Tribolium castaneum: one gene and its partners. The protein of the gene in region 2 binds, or shares a complex with, the protein of the main gene of each other region. Links are inferred from orthologs where the notes say so. Each region holds a gene or a part of one and is shown on either strand. Other genes may lie near its edges.

Region 1 (5,055 bases), on a different chromosome or scaffold from region 2:
AAAGCCGACCTCTTCGGCAACACGGCCCTGCACTTGGCCGCGGCGCAGGGCCACAAACACATCGTCACATTCCTAGTCAATTTCGGAGCCAACATTTACTCGACTGATATCGACGGCCGCACCGCCCAAGAACTCGCCGGAATGAACAACCGCGACGACATCCTGCGGTTCTTGGACGGCGTCCACGCCAAACTGGAGGCCGGCGACAAAAAGAAAGCCAAAGCACTCAAAGAAAAAGCAAAGAAAGAGTCAGAAAAACGCATCAAAGTAAAACACGGCCCCGTCGAGAGAAACCAATCGTTTCACTTTCTTTTCAGGAATTCAACAAACGCCAAGTCAAAAAAGAGCAAGTTCAAGAGAAGCTGGAGAAACGTATGAACAAAGGTCACCACAGGCCGTCGATGATAGAGACGCTCAAAACCAGAATTAAAAGTGGGTCCATGTCGAACTTGTCGAATCTGGGGCCGGCCCCTCCGAGGTTCAGCACCATCGTGGGCAACGGGACCGTTTCCGGGATGCGGAATTTGGGGTCGGTGCAGAAGCGGGTGCTCGCCAGCCGAACAACGCGGCCTGGCTTCGACGACGACTTCAAGGTGCTCCCGAGAGTAAATAAGCATTTATTTGAAAAACTCGTTCCAGATTAGTGAAATTGAAGACGGCAAACGCTCAGTCAGATCACTAACGGGGTATCGGCGAGACTCTGAGGTACTTTACACGGGGACCATCGATGGCAGGAGAGGCCGTCTGGAATCGGTCTTCAACGAAGCTGAGTACATAGAGTCGTCTCCGCCGCCACCACCGTCCAGCAACGGCCTCACAAGGTCCATCTCCCAGCCTGACTTCATGCACGAATTGGAAACAAACGGCGACACTAAACTCCAACAAGAACCAGCGAGTATTTTCGTGCGCCCAGGAATTGGAAGCATAGCGTTCCGGTAACAAATAATCAATATGCGAAAGCACAAAAACACGTTTTTTATTTAGAAAGAGCATAACCAACACATTCCAAGGCTTCTACTCCAGCGAAGGCCCCAACGAGGAGAGTTCAATCGGGTCAGGGGAAAGCTACGGCCCCAGAACCAACACTCTATCAATCGAAGACGAGTTATCAGACCCCGAGTCCAGCGACGACGATAACCCGAACGCTCCCCTGGAACGCTTCTTGACCGCCTGGGGGCTAGGAGAGTACCTTCCCCGCTTCGAGGAGCAGAAAATCGACCTGGAAACGCTGATGATACTGACAGAAAACGATCTCCAAAGCCTGAACTTGCCCCTAGGGCCGTACAGGAAACTTGTGACCGCTGTCAGCGAACGCAAAGCCGCGCTGGAGAATCCGGGCGAAGTCACAGACAGCATGTTGTAAATATGGAGTCAAAATGTGTTATTTATTCATTGTCGTGGACATGATAACGGTATTGCTTGTATTTTATGGGCACTTTTTGTACAGATGTGTGCCAGGCATAATATTTACAAATTCGTATTTAAATTTATTATAAATAAATGTGTGTTATGCAAATGCGAGCTTATTAAACCCACTCCTTATCAGTGTTCTCTTTGCTGAGAGAAATCTGATGTCATCGTCAATACGCAATAATAGGGGACGTAAAATATACTACGAAAAAGTGAAGTTACGTGTAGAAGAATTTGAATTCAATACAAATTTTTGCGCTGTTGCGTTCTTTGTGATGGCAATGAGTTTTTATGCAAAATAAAGTTAGTGAGACACCAAAATAGAAAAAAATAATGCCTTATTGCCATTAGAGCTTATTTTCTTGCTGTTTTTCCAAGTTAAATATTAGTTATTAACAATGCAATAAATCAATTAGGTTGTAATGGAAAAAATTTAATTTAAAATTAATTGGAAACCCAAGAGTGAAGGATTTTTAACAGGATTCCATTATTATTTAGCATCGCCAACTTACATCAAATGTCGCTGCGGATCAGGGTGACAATTTTTTTCTGAAAAAAAGTGTAGAAAAGGTAAGTGAAACAACACGTAAACAAAAATTAGAGAATTAAATTGAAAAAAAAGTGGATGAAAATGTTTTCTCAAGCGCAGCGACATTTGATGTAAGTTGGCCATGTTATTTTGATTTCAAAAGCGCCGAATTTCAAAAACTGTCGATTGTCAGAATCTGCGCGCGCACATTTCTTTTTGCCAAGTGTTGTGCACAACTCGCGGTTTCTGCTTCAACATATTGAATTGAACACTTCCTAACTTCTGAAAGCAAGTCAAATGACTATGACTGATGGTCAATCAGCGGGTGAGGTCCCCAAATTCGTGGCCCCCGTAATCCAGGACAACCCGACTGGATGGGGGCCCTGCGAGCTGCCCGACCAGTTCAAAGATATGCCGTACCAGCCCTTCAGCAAAGGCGACCGTCTCGGCAAAATCAGCGACTGGACGGGGGCCGCCTTCCAAGACAAGAAATATGCCAGTTAGTCTGACATTGACACATGTCAAATTTGAGGTTAAGTGACTTATTTTTCGCAATTTTAGACAAGTATGCGTCCCAGTTCGGTTCTGGCAGTCAATACGCGTATTATCATGACGAAGACGAGAGCACTTTTCATTTGGTGGACACAACACGCGTCCAGAAGCCCCCCTATCAACGGGGGCGCTTCCGCGCGAACCAGCGCAACTTGCGCGGGCGTGGCGGCCGTGCTGGGGTGCAAGGCAGCGGCATGCAGTCCCTCGGGAAGGGGGTTAAAGCCAGGGACACGTATAAGAGGAGCCAGGTTAAGAAATGGGGACAAGGACGGGTAAGATCTCGCTTGAGTTTTACCGCAATATAGTTGGCGGTTTTAGCCCCAGATTAAGATCAGGGACGCTTCGGTTACGGTCAAACCGGATTGGGTCACCATTGAGGAAATGGATTTCCCTCGGTTGGGAAAATTGTCGCTCCCTAACGTCAAAGACGGTTGGTTTAATTAAGCAATGCGAATTTTTCTATTTTGGTTTTTAGGCGAGGATATTACTTGTTGTGGCGAGTTGGAGTACTATGACAAGTCGTACGATCGTGTCAACGTGAAGAATGAGAAGCCGCTGCAAAGCGTCAATCGTATCTTCCATACAGTGGGTTATTTTTAATATCATTGATGGCAAAAAATTAAAATTAATTATCCTCAGGTTACAACAACTGATGATCCGATTATCCGTAAGTTGAGTAAAACGGAGGGCAATGTGTACGCCACTGATGCGATCCTTGCGACCATCATGTGCTGCACTCGCTCGAATTATTCCTGGGACATCGTGATTGAAAAAATTGGTACTGTGCCCTTACAAGTGTAACAAATCTCAAACAAAATTTTTCAGGCGATAAACTCTTCTTTGATAAGCGTGACAATACGGAGTTTGATCTTTTAACCGTCAACGAAACGTCCGTGGAGCCCCCACAAGACGACGGCAACTCCTTAAACTCCCCTCGAAACCTGGCCTTGGAAGCCACTTTCATTAACCACAATTTCAGTCAACAGGTATTAAGAACAGGTACCGGGGAGCCCCGCTTCAAGTTCGACAACCCAAACCCTTTTATCTCCGAGGAGGAGGAAGGGGAGGTCGCCAGTGTGGCCTACAGATACCGCAAATATGACCTAGGGAGCGGAATAGTAATTTTTTCGTTTTGTTTCTGTCCACGTTTAATTTGTGTAGTTTTTGGTTGTCCGTTGCGAACACGATGCCGTGGTCCAGTCCCCGAATGGCGAGCTCCAATTCCTGTCAATCAAGGCCTTGAACGAATGGGATTCCAAATTGGCCAATGGGGTGGAGTGGCGCCAGAAACTGGACACCCAGAGAGGCGCCGTTTTGGCCAATGAGCTGCGTAATAACGCCTGCAAGCTGGCCAAATGGACCGTTCAGGCGTTGCTGGCTGGCAGCGACCAAATTAAATTCGGTTATGTTTCCCGGGCCCATGTCAGGGATAACAGCAAGCATGTTATTCTGGGTACACAGCAGTATAAGCCGCACGAGTTTGCCACTCAGATTAATCTGAATATGGATAATGCGTGGGGGATTCTGCGGTGTATTATTGACATTGTTATGAAACAGAAGGATGGGAAGTATTTGATTATGAAAGATCCGAATAAGCCGATGATCCGGTTGTACGATATTCCGGATAATACGTTCGAATCGGACGGGGAGTCGGAGTCGGAGGATGAGGTGCCCCCTGATTCCGTGACTTTCCAGACCCTTTATCCATACACCAACAGTGCGAAACGCTAGATTTTGTATTTTTATCATGTATTAGCGAAAGGCCGAAATAAAATGATCAATAAATAATAATTTGCAGTTAATTCTCGTGCATAGTATTAACCAACAAGTGAAAAAAAAATAAAACGGACTCTTGTCGTGTAGCAGCAGCAAGGTGCATTTGCTCACGCATTTTTTAATTTTTTTCAACAAAGAAAGTAAAGCTGTCGTATTCACAACAAAAGAAAAATAAAGGTAAGTGCATTATTCTATTTTGTTGCGGATTTACTTTATTAGGTTTAGAATTTACTTATTCAAGATTATCAGCACATTTTTATGACGTAAGATGTCATATTATCGTATGATTCATTCTTTTTTTGTTAATACGTTCCAACATTCAATAACTAAATCAAATTAACAGTTTTATTTTTACTCGAACCCACACAATTTGAGATGTTGAAAAGTTATAATCGTTTGAGTGCAACATTTTACAACAGATTAACTACTTTATAAAATTTTCAAACTAATTTGATGACATTTGAGTTTATGATGTCGTAAAGTGTATTTTTTCAATTGCTCATCTCCAAGTGGGATTGAATATGTGATACAATTAACATATTGTAAGTGAAATGTGGAATGGTAGGTATAATAATGACATAATATTAACTTGGTTTTTATTTATTTGCAATACCTTATTGCTACATATTGTAGCGGAAGTAGATGCCATGAAGATAAGTGCACTTTAATAATTTTTTTCATTTTACAAAACATCAGCTTTTTAAACTATTTTTCCCTCGAAACTAATTTGTTATTCTTCCACGAATGAAATAATGGAGGGGGGAAAGGTTTGTTACTTTATTTTTTTT
Region 2 (4,580 bases):
GAGAAGGAAATACAAAATTATACTTCAGCCGCTGTGTGTGTAAGTGAATTTAAAAAAAAACACAGTTGGTGAGCCCGACTGTCATTCAATGAAATATTGTCCCAGCGATTTGAAAAAGTCCTATATTATTGAAAAGTATTTTTTATAAAAGTAACTCATATCTGGAAAAAGTCTGTACACTTGAAAATAATTTCAAAGGTCAACAATGCACTTTTTCAAAACACAGAGATTATGGCCGCACTGTTGCCAATATTTTGACTAAAAAATAACTAAACCATTTATAGTATTTGTTGTTCAAGAATCACATTTCGCAGATGGTGTCCTCATCAATAATGTACCCCTTCCAAGTGGTGTCAAATTGCATGGCTGTCTCGAATTCGGGTTTGTTGGCTGGATCGCCCCCTTATATGTTGCACTACAACACTTGGATTGATTGTTGGAATGATTTGTCGAGTCGTAATCAATTGAAAAGAGGGTCTAGTCTTTTGGTTCGTTATTACAAGGGTCCTTCGTTGATAACAAGTAAAGGCAATCTACTCAAGGGCAACTAAATTTCATGTTATTCAGTAGTTGGATTTTTTTTCATTACAAATTGACGCAATTGTATGTAAATATTTAGAGTATTGTGTTATTTTACAATAAAATTCTTGTTCAGATTTTAATTGGAGTTTTTTTTATTAAGCAAGCAAAAACTTTGGCTTTAACTTTTAAAATGTGCGACTTGATATAAAGGTAAGTTAAAGTTGGATTAAATCTTTAGTTTCTTTGTTTTTTATTACACCCTGTACATATTTCGAAAAAAAGTGTTTATCCCCATTTTGTTTCTTTAGTTTACAGTTGCTGAAATCAGTAGGACGCGTTCTTGCAAAAATTAACAAAGTCGCTACACGGGTAGGAGATTGAAAAAATAAAGTTTGAAAAGTCAAGGAGTTTTCAAAAAAGAAAAAAAGAAAAAAAATTCAATAAGATTACAAGGAATATTTGTCCCCACTTCATTTTTTTACAAGCCAAGGCCCTACTGGAGCGCTTTATTACTAGCAAAAATATTTATTATTTACACGGTAAAAGCGTTGCGAAAATTAAGTTCTAAAATTCAAAATAATTTTGAAAATAAAAAGAAAAAATCTGTTAGGTTTTAAAGAGTGTTTACCTCCACTTGATTGTTTTACAGTCGAACACTATCCAAGAGCTTTATTTCCTGCAATAATAAACAAAATTGCAGTACGGAAAGCCGGTTGAAAAAAATGAAGTTTAAAAAGTAAAACATTTGCAAAAAAACAAAAGAAAAACATTCAGTAAGCAGAATGTTTGTCATCAATTAATTTTTTTACAGTCGAAAGTCTCATGGCTAGGCTATATATTCCTTGCAGAATTGAACAAAATCAATAAATGGGAAGGGGGTTAAAAAATAATGTTTGAAAAATTAAAATATTTTCCAAAAAAAAAAGAAAAAAAAATAGGTAAGGCCCCAGGGAATATTTATCCACACTTAATTTTTTTTACAATCAAATTCCCATCATCAGGCTTTGCTTCCTACAAAAATTAAAACACGAAAAGGGAGTTGAAAAAATAAAGTTTAAAAAGTTGAGATAAAAAAAAGATTGTAAGGTCCCAAGGTCTTAAATTAATGGCTCTACTTAATTTTTTTACTGCCAAAAGCCCTTTATTTCATACAAAAATAAACAAAATCGCTACAATGAAATATTATTTTAAAAGATTAAGTTTGTAAAGATAATAATTAAAAAAAAAAATCAGTAAAGGCCCAAAGAGTTTTTAATCAATAATCACAGTTAATTTTATTACATATTTTTCCCAACTGCTAAAAATTGCCAAAATGGCAATAACGCCATTTATCAGTTAATTTTGACAATACGGTTATTTCACCTGAGCCGGCACTGACTTAACCCCGCCACTGCACAACCCACCATGACAGTTAATTTTGACACCTCTTCTGTCAAACAACCGTCAAAAAAAGCGTGTTTAATCATTAAAATCCTTAAAAAAACGCCCAGTTTTTTAACAAAATGGTAAGTAACGACTCACAATCAATCGAAAAAAACGCCCCACAACCGTAAAACATTACATTACCCCACAATTTCACCCACATATTGTTCGCTTAAATTTAACCTCAAAACCCCCACAGAAACCCCTTCTACTCCACGGCCACGAACGTGCCATCACCCAAATCAAGTACAACCGTGAGGGCGACCTCCTCTTCTCCTCCTCAAAGGACAACAAACCCAACGTTTGGTACTCCCTTAATGGCGAGAGGTTGGGAACCTTCAACGGCCACCAGGGGGCTGTCTGGTGCATCGACGTCGACTGGACCACCACTAGGTTAATAATAATAATAAATTTATTGCTGCAATAAAGCAAATGGGTGCGCGATAAGGTTGCCTCAGTAGCGAATATACAGGGTGCCTCACCTAATACTTTTGAGCCTGATATCTCAGTTATTTGTCAACGTATTTTTATGAAAATTAAAATGCAGATATTTAGGAAAGTAAAGATTAAAATCCAATTAATGCAAAAACTGAAGTCTTAAAATCGTAATTTTAAAATTAAAATTAATAAAACAGATATTAATCTCGAAAGTTTTAGGTGAGACACCCTGTACAAGTTTTGATTAATTTGCTTTTACTGATTTAATCAAATACTACTTAGACCAGAAATATCACCTATTTTGCTACTTTTTAAACTATTTAAACTTTATAGGTTCCTGTCAGGTGCCGGTGACAACACCCTTAAAGTATGGGACTGTGAAACGGGCAAAGAAATCGGGAACATCTCAACCAATTCATCAGTCCGAACGTGTCTGTTTAGCTACTCGGGCAACATGGCAGTGTACACCACCGACAAAGCCCTCAAACACAACTGCGAGATCTTCATTATTGACGTCCGTAACGTGGACGAAAGCATCTCGCACGCCGACCCCATTTTACGCATCCCGATTAAAGGTTCCCGTGTTTCGTCAATCCTATGGGATAACCTGGACGAAACTATAATAACCGGGCACGAAAACGGGGATTTGATCAAGTGGGACTTGAAGTCAGGCAAAGAGATCAGTTCAACACGTGAACACGAACATTTAATCAACGATATGCAGTGGAATAAAGACGGGACAATGTTTGTGACAGCGTCCAAAGACCACACAGCTAAACTGTTCGACGCTGCTGATTTGATGTTACTGAAGACTTACAAGACAGAACGGCCGGTTAATTCAGCTGCCATTAGCCCCATTTTTGAGCATGTGGTTGTGGGCGGAGGGCAAGATGCCATGGATGTGACAACCACGTCGGCAAGGGTTGGGAAATTTGACTCGAGGTTTTTCCATATGGTGTTTGAAGAAGAGTTTGGGAGGGTTAAAGGGCATTTTGGGCCGATTAATAGTGTGGCGTTTCATCCAGATGGCAAGAGTTATAGTTCAGGAGGTGAAGATGGTTATGTGAGAGTGCATAATTTCGATTCGTCATATTTTGAGTATAATTTCGATTATTAAATGGATAGCTGGTATTAATAAATTTTTTAATAAAACAGTTTGGTTGTTTTTGTTCCTAGATTACGTCCAAGTCTAAGTTTTCGGAGCAATGATTTTAAATAATGATTATACAGGTGCTCCATAACTTTTTTTCTATGCAAGCTATCAAGTTGAATTTTTTTGAAACGCTAGGTTTACTATTGTAAGACTTATTAGGCACGTTCTAAAAATATTTTAATCTGTATACAGAGTATTCCAAAATAAAATACCTAACTATGTTCTGTTTTTTTTTAACAAAAACCCGGATTTTATGGATTTATCTGTCATAGCTTTTTGACTTTTTGACAGAAAATACACAAATAAAGCCCTTGTTAATGTGTTTTTCGTTCGTTTGAAACTGAAATTTAATTACGAAAATAATTTTGGTAAATTTTATTCCGGCGCTTCCAACTTGTGAAATGTAACTAAAACATTCGAAAAAGCAAAAATAATGAAATTTTCAGCTCCGTATTACTGCATTTAGTTACGTTTTGTGTTTTTTGAGACTGAAAAATTACTAACCTCAATTTTGTGGCTTCCAAAAAGTGGCGTCCAAAATGCGTTGGCTGTGACTTCTGTGATGTCACATTTTGAACAAAACGTTAATTTTAGTCATTTTGGCACTAAATACGCACAAAACACTGCTTTTTCAACACAAAAAACTAAAGGAAAAGACGCTTTGAAACAAATGATGTCAAGCCAACTCGATTTCATTGGGTGGTTTCAAGATGAGTGGTTTGTTGTTGTGCGGCAACTGTGAGACAGCGAAAGCGGGAAATTTAAAATTAGATTTTTTTGGCTCGTTTTATTTTATAACAAAAATTTCAATCAACCGTGCGATTAGTCGGTGAATTTAATTTAATTTAATTTAAAATGAGATTTAAGCTAGAATCTTATCAAAAAGCAGAGAAATAATGTGTTTTTCGTTTCTTTAAGCGAGAATTTGCAAAACAAGATAAACTTTTATTATACTTTAACGACGTGCCATAACAGTTAAAAAATGTAAAAATTGTTTTGTTTTTTCAATGCAATCTTTCGAAACAGAAAGTAATTTTGGATCTAA
Region 3 (4,181 bases), on a different chromosome or scaffold from region 2:
GTAACTCTCTTCACCCCCTCGAACCCACATTTGTTTAACATATATTGCAGCACGTGGACGCCGGTGCCGAAGGCTCAGGCCAATCCCTCGTCTCCCCCGGCTCATGCCTCGAAGAGTTCCGCCCCAAACCCTTCATCGAATGCCACGGTCACGGCCGCTGCAACTACTACACCACCATCCTGTCCTACTGGCTGGCCACCATAGAGGATTCAGCCATGTTCCAAAAACCGCGTTCGGAGACTCTCAAAGCCGGCTATTTGACCTCAAGAGTCAGCAGATGCGCCGTTTGCATCCGCAGACGGTACACCAGTCGCACTGCAATTGTCACCCCTAGTCGAATCACAAGACCCACATACGGGACCCCGTATCGGCCCCCAGGCTATCCACCAGGAAGTTACAGGAACTTGGAAGAGAATAGGAGGAGGCGTTTGAGGCAGAGATTGAGACACAGGAGACCGCAAAATACGCCGTGATCGACGTGCCATAACAGTTATTAACTTTGTAATTATGTGTAAATTAATTGTAACATAGATTTGATGTTAACATTTGTCCTTGAGAAGGAACGTACGCCGTGTTCAAACACAAATCCTATTAGAATATTTTTTACTTGTAAGGATTTAGGTTCTTAATTTTATTTAAGCGATTACGACAGTGGCTCTTTGTATAGAATTTATTTTTTTAATACTTGAATTCTTGCTTGTTTTTGATCTTTTTTATCTCAAAGGTGCTAATTAGTTTTAAGGCTTACGACAGGAAAATGTGATTCATATTTTATGTGCCTTTCTATTAAACACTGCCAAATGATTTTGTAATGTAACAAATGAATAAATCATAAAAACGATGAGTTTTTGGGTTTTATTAGGTATCAAATAAGAAGACAATTTCTTTATGTACAACTTTTACTTATCACAAATCTAGTTATTTATAAATCATACATTCAAACATACTGAACGCTGTGTGATAGTGACCAGACAAAAAATTATAGAATGACACTACCAGACTCACAACAAATTTAAAAAAGAACAATCTGATAACAAAACAATCATTTTCGAAATTTATAGTAACTTTACTTCGGGAATCCGTTGCTCAGTTCAATTTTGCTGTCAGTGAACTGCATATGATTATCGATGATTTGGAAAAGCTCTGCAGGTTGTGGTATCCTGCCCGTCTCCAGTTTGGACCAAACAGGAACGTCATTCAGTGAGATTTCAAAAGCCCCCGATTGAATCAACTGTCCTTCGATAATATTACACACAAAGAACAGCATCATGCAAGCATAAAGCTTGTTTTCTGTGCACCAAATCCACCATGAAGGCTGTGGTTGGTTAATGTATTCAAATATGTTAATAGCCCCCAAAATACACACGATTATCACCATTTTAACGATGCCCTGAAAACGCATAATCATCAACTTTCACTCATTATATCATACTTACAATAAGTCTGGCCAAATACATGTTCAAGCCTGGGGGGTCGTAATTTTGGCCATCAACGGCTATAAAAGGGTATTTGTCCCCAACGATTTTTACGTACTGCTCGAACGTTTTCCGGTAACCACACGAATAACTAAATTAAATAATTAGATTATGATATTGGGGCTAGGGGAACATACCAATACAAAAATTTTAAGGTTGGGGCCCCAACATTTTGACTTAGCTTCGACGGGAGGACGTCTTCAGCTGCTACGTTACCGTTTGATTCGAGAAAACACAGCCCCGCAAACACCACTAAATACCAAAAACATGATATTTGTCTTAAACCAGCCATTTATTTTGCTTTCTAATGCTCTCGTCAGCTGATAAATTTCCAATGACAGGTGGGACTGGTGGAAACGTAGGGGAATTTAGACACCGACTAGATCAGCCTAAAACACTAATATAATAATTATTTCACGTCCAAAAAACACGAGATTGTGTTAGCTGCTACAAAATTTGGTAACAAACAACGTAATCGTTAAATAAGGCCATTATCGGCTGGCAATTTTTACGAAAATTGTGTTTTTGTAGCAATTGTGGAGTTTTTGTTTGCGCTACATTGGCAGGTATTTTTGGCAGTTTAAAATGGCGTCTCGTGGGGCTGCTTCGAGGCGTGTGCCTGAAAATGACTCGACGATTGCTTACGTGCAAGCCGACGGCTTGGTAAATATCCCTTCAGTTTATTTAAACCCAAAAGTCACACTTTGGCTACCTCAGTTAGTAATTAATACCTAACATACGGAACCTAACCTCTTTCAGGCCGTCATGAAGATCGTAAAACACTGCCATGAGGAATCGACCACTAACATGGACATAGCCCAGGGGGCCCTTCTCGGCCTTGTCGTTGAAAACCGGCTGGAAATCACGAATTGTTTCCCATTCCCGAAACAAACCGACGAGACAATGGACGAGGACGAGTACCAGCTAGCGATGATGCGGCGCCTGCGACGCGTCAACGTCGACCACTTCCATGTGGGGTGGTACCAAAGCGCCGACGTCGGGAACTTCCTCAGCCTCCCTCTTCTCGAATCGCAATTCCACTACCAAACCTCAATCGAGGAATCCGTCGTTGTGATTTACGACACTCAAAAATCCTCGCGCGGGTTCCTCACACTTAAAGCCTACCGTTTGACGCCTCAAGCCATTGAGATGTACAAGGAGGGCGAATTCACGCCCGAGGCCCTCTTGAAGCTCAAAGTCGGATACGAGAACCTCTTCATCGAGGTCCCCTTCGTTATTAAAAACTCCGCCTTGACCAACATCATGATGTCCGAATTGCAAGAACTTGTCCCGGAAGAAGAAGGCTCGAAATTTTTAGATTTGGGAACCGCCTCCGTCCTCGAGGGGCAATTGCGCTGCCTCATGGACCGAGTTGACGAACTCAACCAAGAAGCGATCAAGTTTAATAGATACCAACAGTTGGTCAGCCGGCAACAGCAAGACAAACACAGATATTTGCAAAAGAGGGCGCAGGAAAATGCGGCTAGGGCCGCGAAAGACGAGCCCCCATTGCCCGAAGAGGACATTAATAAGCTGTTTAGGCCACATCCGGTGCCCCCGAGGCTGAACCCGATGATTATCGCGGGACAGATTAATACGTATAGTCAGGCCATTTCCCAGTTGTGCTCGCAGAGTTTGGCTAAGTTGTATATTACGCAAGCGTTGCAGAACGCCAAGGAGGCGAATTCTAATCCTTGAACTGTTTTGTTACGTTGTTTTACAATAAAATAATATACAATGAGTTTGGGTTTTATTTAAACCAGGCGTAATAAAGCTTAATTGGCGCAGTCAGTAGGTTTTGTGGTGGCGTCTCTTCTGTGAAATTTCTACGTTTGAACGTTTAATCATCCCCTTAAAAAATGGTACTAAACCAACAGTGGAGAAAGTCATATTCGCAACCTTTTCATCGTTTATGTTGATTTTGTTGTTTTTTGATTGAAATAAAGGACACAGCTTTTAAAAAATAATGTATTCAATTGCCCTAAACATCAATTTAGTCATTACAGTCTTACGAACCTAAAGAAATGAATTTTATTTATTTACATTTCTATTGCACAAACTGGCCAAAATGTACACACTTTTTTGTGCAACTTTCTCAAACTCATACAAACCAATAACAAACAACACACGAAAAACAACAACAAAACAAGACTAGATAATCAATCACAATAAATCGTTTCGTATTACGCTATTAGCAGTTCAATCAATAAGAAAAATCGTGTCATGAGTATAAAAATGTTGATTAATTCATTTGAAAAAATTCCCCATTTTACATTGATAAAATAGCTTAACACTACGACTAGACTCTAGGTAACATTCACCACTGGCGTCGTCCCATTTATCGTATTTACAGAATTTTAAAATGGCACATGGACAAATCCACGGTTTTACATTTCTATACACACGTACCGAGAAAACCTTTTGGTACAAATACATATACAGTGTGGACCAACAATAAAAGTATTTAGTTTGCCTTTTATTTATCCACGTGATTCACTTGTCGAATCAAACGCCTACATATTCCCGACATTAATCGAAATCGTGTTGTGATTGACGGGTTTGAACGGCTCAACACTGTCAACAATCGCCTCAGCCAAATAACTCCTAATTTTAGTCGGAACGAACAATTTTTCCAAATCCTGCTTACTCCTAATCCTCTTGACGATCACCGCCCTGCACCTGTCCTGCAAATTGACGAAGTCCCTC
Region 4 (5,219 bases), on a different chromosome or scaffold from region 2:
ACTCTCACAAGAAAACCGAAAATAATATCTTTCCAAATTTTTAATATGTTATAGAAGAAGGTCTTCTGAAGCTGTTTTATAATAAAAAAGTTCATTGCTCGATGTTATCCAATCAAGACAGCGGAATTTTTAATTTGGTGTTTTATTTGAATTTTTCAAGAATGGTTATTTTTGGCAGACTCTCACAAGAAAACCAAAAATAATATCTTTCCAAATATTTAATATGTTATAGAGGAAGGTCTTCTGAAGCTGTTTTATAAAAAAGAAGTTCATTGTTCTGTGTTATCCAATCAAGACAGCGGAATTTTTAACTTGGTGTTTTATTTGAATTTTTCAAGAATGGTTATTTTTGACAGACTCTAACAAGAAAACCAAAAATAATATCTTTTCAAATTTTTAATATGTTAGAGAAGAAGGTCTTCTGAAGCTGTTTTACAAAAAAGAAGTTCATTGCTCGATGTTATCCAATCAAGACAGCGGAATTTTTAACTTTGAGTTTTATTTGAATTTTTCAAGAATGGTTATTTTTGACAGACTCTCACAAGAAAACCAAAAATAATATCTTTCCAAATATTTAATATGTTATAGAGGAAGATCTTCTGAAGCTGTTTTATAAAAAAGAAGTTCATTGCTCGATGTTATCCAATCAAGACAGCGGAATTTTTAACTTGGTGTTTTATTTGAATTTTTCAAGAATGGTTATTTTTGACAGACTCTAACAAGAAAACCAAAAATAATATCTTTCCAAATTTTTTATATGTTATAGAAGAAGGTCTTCTGAAGCTGTTTTATAAAAAAGAAGTTCACTGCTCTATGTTATCCAATCAACACAGCGGAATTTTTAACTTTGTGTTTTATTAGAATTTTTCAAGAATGGTTATTTTTGGCAGACTCTAACAAGAAAACCAAAAATAATATCTTTCCAGATTTTTAATATGTTATAGAAAAAGGTCTTCTGAAGTTGTTTAATAAAAAAGATGTTCATTGCTCTATGTTATCCAATCAAGACAGCGGAATTTTTAACTTGGTGTTTTATTTGAATTTTTCAAGAATGGTTATTTTTGGAAGACTCTCACAAGAAAACCAAAAATAATATCTTTCCATATTTTTAATATGTTATAGAAGAAGGTCTTCTGAAGTTGTTTTATAAAAAAGAAGTTCATTGCTTTATGTTATCCAATCAAGACAGCGGGATTTTTAACTTTGTGTTTTATTTGAATTTTTCAAGAATGGTTATTTTTGGAAGACTCTCACAAGAAAACTAAAAATAATATCTTTCCAAATTTTTAATATGTTATAAAAGAAGGTTTTCTGAAACTGTTTTATAAAAAAGTTTTATAAAAAAGAAGTTCATTGTTCATAATATCTTTCCAGATTTTTAATATGTTATAGAAAAAGGTCTTCTGAAGTTGTTTTATAAAAAAGAAGTTCATTGCTTTATGTTATCCAATCAAGACAGCGGGATTTTTAACTTTGTGTTTTATTTGATTTTTTCAAGAATGTTTATTTTCGACAGACTCTAACAAGAAAACCAAAAATAATATCTTTCCAGATTTTTAATATGTTATAGAGGAAGGTCTTCTGAAGCTGTTTTATAAAAAAGAAGTTCATTGCTCTGTGTTATCCAATCAAGACAGCGGAATTTTTTACTTTGTTTTATTGATTTTTTCAAGAATGTTTATTTTTGACAGACTCTAACAAGAAAATCATAAATAATATCTTTCCAAATTTTTAATATGTCATAGAAGAAGGTCTTATTAAGCTTTTTTATAAAAAAAAAGTTCATTGTACTGTGTTATCTAATCAAGACAGCCGAATAACAAAAGAAAAGAGGTCATTCCTCATTTTTTTTAATAGAAAAACATTTAAAGTACTGATACTTACGCTCGGAATTGCGATTCCCCCCTTCACAAACTCCCACTCCCCTTCCCCATCCTCCTCATCCTCCTTCTTCACCTTCCGCCTCTCCTTCTCCTTACGTTCCTTCCTCCTTTCCTCCTTCCTCCGATCGCGTTCTTCATCATCTTCATGCGCCGGCCCAGTTTTCTTCAAAAACCGCTCCCTCATAGTCCCTTTCCCTTCATCTTCATCAAAACTATCCGAACTCGAGTCACTATCACTAGGCCAATCGTCCGAATCAGACGACCCTTCATCATCAACAATCTGTTTGGAAATTTTAGCCACAGCTTTGGCCGGCGCTTCAGTTTGAGTGTCTGGCTCAGGCTCGTGTTTCTCTTCCTCTTCTTCATCGTCCGGCTGGTCGGGGTTTTCCCTAAACTTGGCAATATCCTCCTCGAAATCTTTGATGTACTTGCGCAACTTCTGGCGCATTGAAGCCAAAGACTTGCTGTTGTTTTTGCTCATGTTTTTGCGTCCGTCGCGATCTTCCCACATTTCGTTGATGAAATCTTCCATTTCGACCAAACAACGGGTGAAGAAACGGGGCGTTTGCCCCGATTCTTCTTTCGCGATCACTGGGAGCGCTTTAACGTAGGCCTTCTGAAGGTCTTCAAAACTGGTCAACATGCTGCTCATGTCTTTGATTTTTTTGTAATTGCGGATTTGTTTGATAATGTTAGTGAGTTCCTCGTAACGCTTCTCTTTGGCGGAGCGAACCACACGTTTGACCTCCTCTTCATCGTCGCTAAACTAGAAGGGGGCCATTAAAAAAATGTTAAGCTACATGGGGGCTCACTTACGGTGAAAACGGGCGCTGGCGCGCGCTGAATTGGCTCTTCCTCGGAGGAGCTGTCGGAGTCTGAGTCCGAACCGGCGAAAAAACGACTCATTTTTTTACCTACAAAGTGACATAACCTCAAAAAAATTACGTGAAATAACGCAATAACTAGGCGTTAAATTGGCGTTAGGTAACGGTTTTTCGCTTCTTTGGGCCAAATGAAGACCGAAAACTTAATTTAAGACTACTTTAAAGCTAGTTACTGGGGCCCATGTGGTTCATGTTTGGAGACGGAACTCCCCAAAATTATAGTTAGAAATGTCGGAACCACAATTTTAAGGTAAAATACACGTGAAAGAGGCAAAACTTACGTGTTTAAAGCCTTTTTTTCACTTAACAGATTTTCCGACACGATTGTAACCACAAAATGGCCAAAAACTTGTGCCAACTGTCAAAATCGGGACTTTTTTGTCTTGTGATTGGTAGTGTTATGGTAATATCGTAAAAAAAGGGCAAATTAATTTGTTTTTGGGCACGAAAGGGCCCTTAAGTCGAGAGCCAGGGTTAGGTGGTGGTATTTAGGTTCAAGTTGTGTCAAAAGTAAGGATTCTACGGTTAAGATACCAAAGACGTACAAATGAAACGCTCGCGTTTTCGGTAGTTCCTTTATTGTCACCAGAGAGCGCACTTGTTCCATTAGCAGATAGCAAAGAAAAAATACAGGCACATAGAGCATTAAACTCTCGATAGTAAGACAAAAAAGTAAGGAACAAAGTTGTAGAAAATCAAATTTCCAATATATATTTTTTATTTAAATTAACTTATTTATCTCCTAAATACACAACAAAATTATTTCTTCTTGATAATGCTTTGGATTTTTTGCCACTCCCTGTCCAAATGCGCCTTTTCGTTCTTATCCTTATGCTTCCTGGACCTGCGCCCATCTGCCATTTTAAGGCCGTACTGGAAGGCTGCTTTCGGCAAAGCCTCCTTCTGGTTCATATAATCGGAATACTCCTCAGCTGTGTCAAAGTCCCAGCGTCCAATCGGCCCCTTTTTATTCCCCAAGTCCATCTTAGAATAATCAACCTCATCATCAGAATCATCAATCGCATCGTTCATTTCCTCCAATCCGGGATAACACTCAGCATATCCCTCAGGCTCTTGAGCCAGTTTATTAAGGATTTGTGCCGATTTACTGACTTTGAAAGTCGGTCCGCTATTTTCAAGCGCTTCCTCTTGTTTATCAAAGTACGTGTGTTTGTTATGGTCACGTGACGAGTTTCCATGTTTACCACTTCTTGTGGGTACGTAATCACCAATATCTCCATAGATGGAGTCATCACCGGTTGTACGTTTTGTTGTTTTTTTCGGTTCGGGTTCTTCCGGTTGTTCGTTTTCGCGACTTTCGGGGAGTCCCCGTTTGGTTTTTTTGTTCTTTCGGTTGCCTTGGCGCAAGTAACTTAAAATTTGGGTTAATTTATTTATGACAATGTCGTTGGTTGTGAGGGTTGTGGTGAGTTCAAATGACGGAACGTCGGCGATTGAACGGATTAAAGTTGTTGGAATGTCTGATTCAGCCTCATCGTCTGAAATAAAATTTTAATAGTCATGTTGGTATTAAATTAATAGGAATTTTAACATTAAAATTCATGTAAAAATTTTTAAAAAAGAATCACAAAAACCTTTAAAAAATCCAAAAAGAAGTACAGAAACAATGCTAGAAAATAAATAAGAGCAATTCTAAAAGAAACTAGAGAAGAATTTTTATAAGCGAGAGAGGAGAATATAAAAAAAATTGCGGATTTAAGATCTAAAGAAGTCTTTAGGAGATAATCATAAAAATCTTTAAAAAAATCTAAAAGACAGTAAAAAAACAATGCTAAAAAATGAACAAGAAGAATTCTAAAAGAAACTAGACAAGAATTTTTATAAGCGAGAGAAGAGAATCTAAAGGAAAATTTTGCTGATTTAAAATCTAAAGACCTCTTTAGGAAAGAATCACAAAAATCTTTTAAAAAAATCTAAAGGTAAGTACAAAAACAATGCTAAAAAATAAATAAGAAATATTATAAAAGAAACTAGAGAAGAATTTTTATAAGCGAGAAAGGAGAATTTAAAGGAAAATTTTGCTGATTTAAAATCTAAAGACCTCTTTAGGAAAGAATCACAAAAATCTTTTAAAAAAATCTAAAGGTAAGTACAAAAACAATGCTAAAAAATAAATAAGAAATATTATAAAAGAAACTAGAGAAGAATTTTTATAAGCGAGAAAAGAGAATTTAAAGGAAAATTTTGCTGATTTAAAATCTAAAGACTTCTTTAGGAAAAAATCACAAAAATCTTTAAAAAAACCTAAAGGAAAATACCGAAACAATGCTAAAAAATAAATAAAAAATATTATAAAAGAAACTAGAGAAGAATGTTTATACGCGAGAGAAGAGAATTTAAAGGAAAATTTTGCTGATTTAAAATCTAAAGACCTCTTTAGGAAAGAATCACAAAAATCTTTAAAAAAAATCTAAAGGTAAGTACAAAAACA

What was found.
Region 1: eIF3i (region 2) and eIF3d1 share a complex: the UniProt entries of both Drosophila melanogaster proteins name them as parts of the eukaryotic translation initiation factor 3 (eIF-3) complex. The link is inferred for Tribolium castaneum from reciprocal best matches to the Drosophila melanogaster genes eIF3i and eIF3d1.
Region 3: eIF3i (region 2) and eIF3h share a complex: the UniProt entries of both Drosophila melanogaster proteins name them as parts of the eukaryotic translation initiation factor 3 (eIF-3) complex. The link is inferred for Tribolium castaneum from reciprocal best matches to the Drosophila melanogaster genes eIF3i and eIF3h.
Region 4: eIF3i (region 2) and eIF3c share a complex: the UniProt entries of both Drosophila melanogaster proteins name them as parts of the eukaryotic translation initiation factor 3 (eIF-3) complex. The link is inferred for Tribolium castaneum from reciprocal best matches to the Drosophila melanogaster genes eIF3i and eIF3c.

What each region holds. Positions count from the first base shown.
Region 1 is NC_087399.1:4,807,101-4,812,155, forward strand, and holds eIF3d1 (eukaryotic initiation factor 3 p66 subunit), read left to right. Parts: upstream 1-2,169; 5' UTR 2,170-2,236; coding exon 2,237-2,438; intron 2,439-2,500; coding exon 2,501-2,763; intron 2,764-2,809; coding exon 2,810-2,921; intron 2,922-2,966; coding exon 2,967-3,076; intron 3,077-3,130; coding exon 3,131-3,269; intron 3,270-3,316; coding exon 3,317-3,609; intron 3,610-3,652; coding exon 3,653-4,222; 3' UTR 4,223-4,279; downstream 4,280-5,055. Other genes in the region: Sans (ankyrin repeat and SAM domain-containing protein 4B), read left to right, coding at 1-267, 318-593, 640-935, 985-1,363. UniProt on the Drosophila melanogaster protein: mRNA cap-binding component of the eukaryotic translation initiation factor 3 (eIF-3) complex, which is involved in protein synthesis of a specialized repertoire of mRNAs and, together with other initiation factors, stimulates binding of mRNA and methionyl-tRNAi to the 40S ribosome.
Region 2 is NC_087394.1:747,927-752,506, reverse strand, and holds eIF3i (eukaryotic translation initiation factor 3 subunit I), read left to right. Parts: upstream 1-1,899; 5' UTR 1,900-2,024; coding exon 2,025-2,027; intron 2,028-2,143; coding exon 2,144-2,337; intron 2,338-2,715; coding exon 2,716-3,499; 3' UTR 3,500-3,536; downstream 3,537-4,580. Other genes in the region: mitochondrial carrier homolog 2, read left to right, coding at 1-39, 285-551. UniProt on the Drosophila melanogaster protein: Component of the eukaryotic translation initiation factor 3 (eIF-3) complex, which is involved in protein synthesis of a specialized repertoire of mRNAs and, together with other initiation factors, stimulates binding of mRNA and methionyl-tRNAi to the 40S ribosome.
Region 3 is NC_087398.1:6,460,492-6,464,672, reverse strand, and holds eIF3h (eukaryotic translation initiation factor 3 subunit H), read left to right. Parts: upstream 1-1,910; 5' UTR 1,911-2,060; coding exon 2,061-2,138; intron 2,139-2,234; coding exon 2,235-3,173; 3' UTR 3,174-3,216; downstream 3,217-4,181. Other genes in the region: vkg (collagen alpha-2(IV) chain), read left to right, coding at 51-473; SelT (thioredoxin reductase-like selenoprotein T homolog CG3887), read right to left, coding at 1,067-1,390, 1,437-1,566, 1,613-1,767; SP555 (SPRY domain-containing SOCS box protein 3), read right to left, coding at 3,989-4,181. UniProt on the Drosophila melanogaster protein: Component of the eukaryotic translation initiation factor 3 (eIF-3) complex, which is involved in protein synthesis of a specialized repertoire of mRNAs and, together with other initiation factors, stimulates binding of mRNA and methionyl-tRNAi to the 40S ribosome.
Region 4 is NC_087401.1:16,333,909-16,339,127, forward strand, and holds the start of eIF3c (eukaryotic translation initiation factor 3 subunit C), read right to left. Parts: upstream 3,177-5,219; 5' UTR 3,045-3,176; intron 2,798-3,044; exon of another isoform or gene 2,795-2,797; 5' UTR 2,790-2,794; coding exon 2,700-2,789; intron 2,650-2,699; coding exon 1,885-2,649; intron 1-1,884. Other genes in the region: beag (protein Red), read right to left, coding at 3,527-4,266. UniProt on the Drosophila melanogaster protein: Component of the eukaryotic translation initiation factor 3 (eIF-3) complex, which is involved in protein synthesis of a specialized repertoire of mRNAs and, together with other initiation factors, stimulates binding of mRNA and methionyl-tRNAi to the 40S ribosome.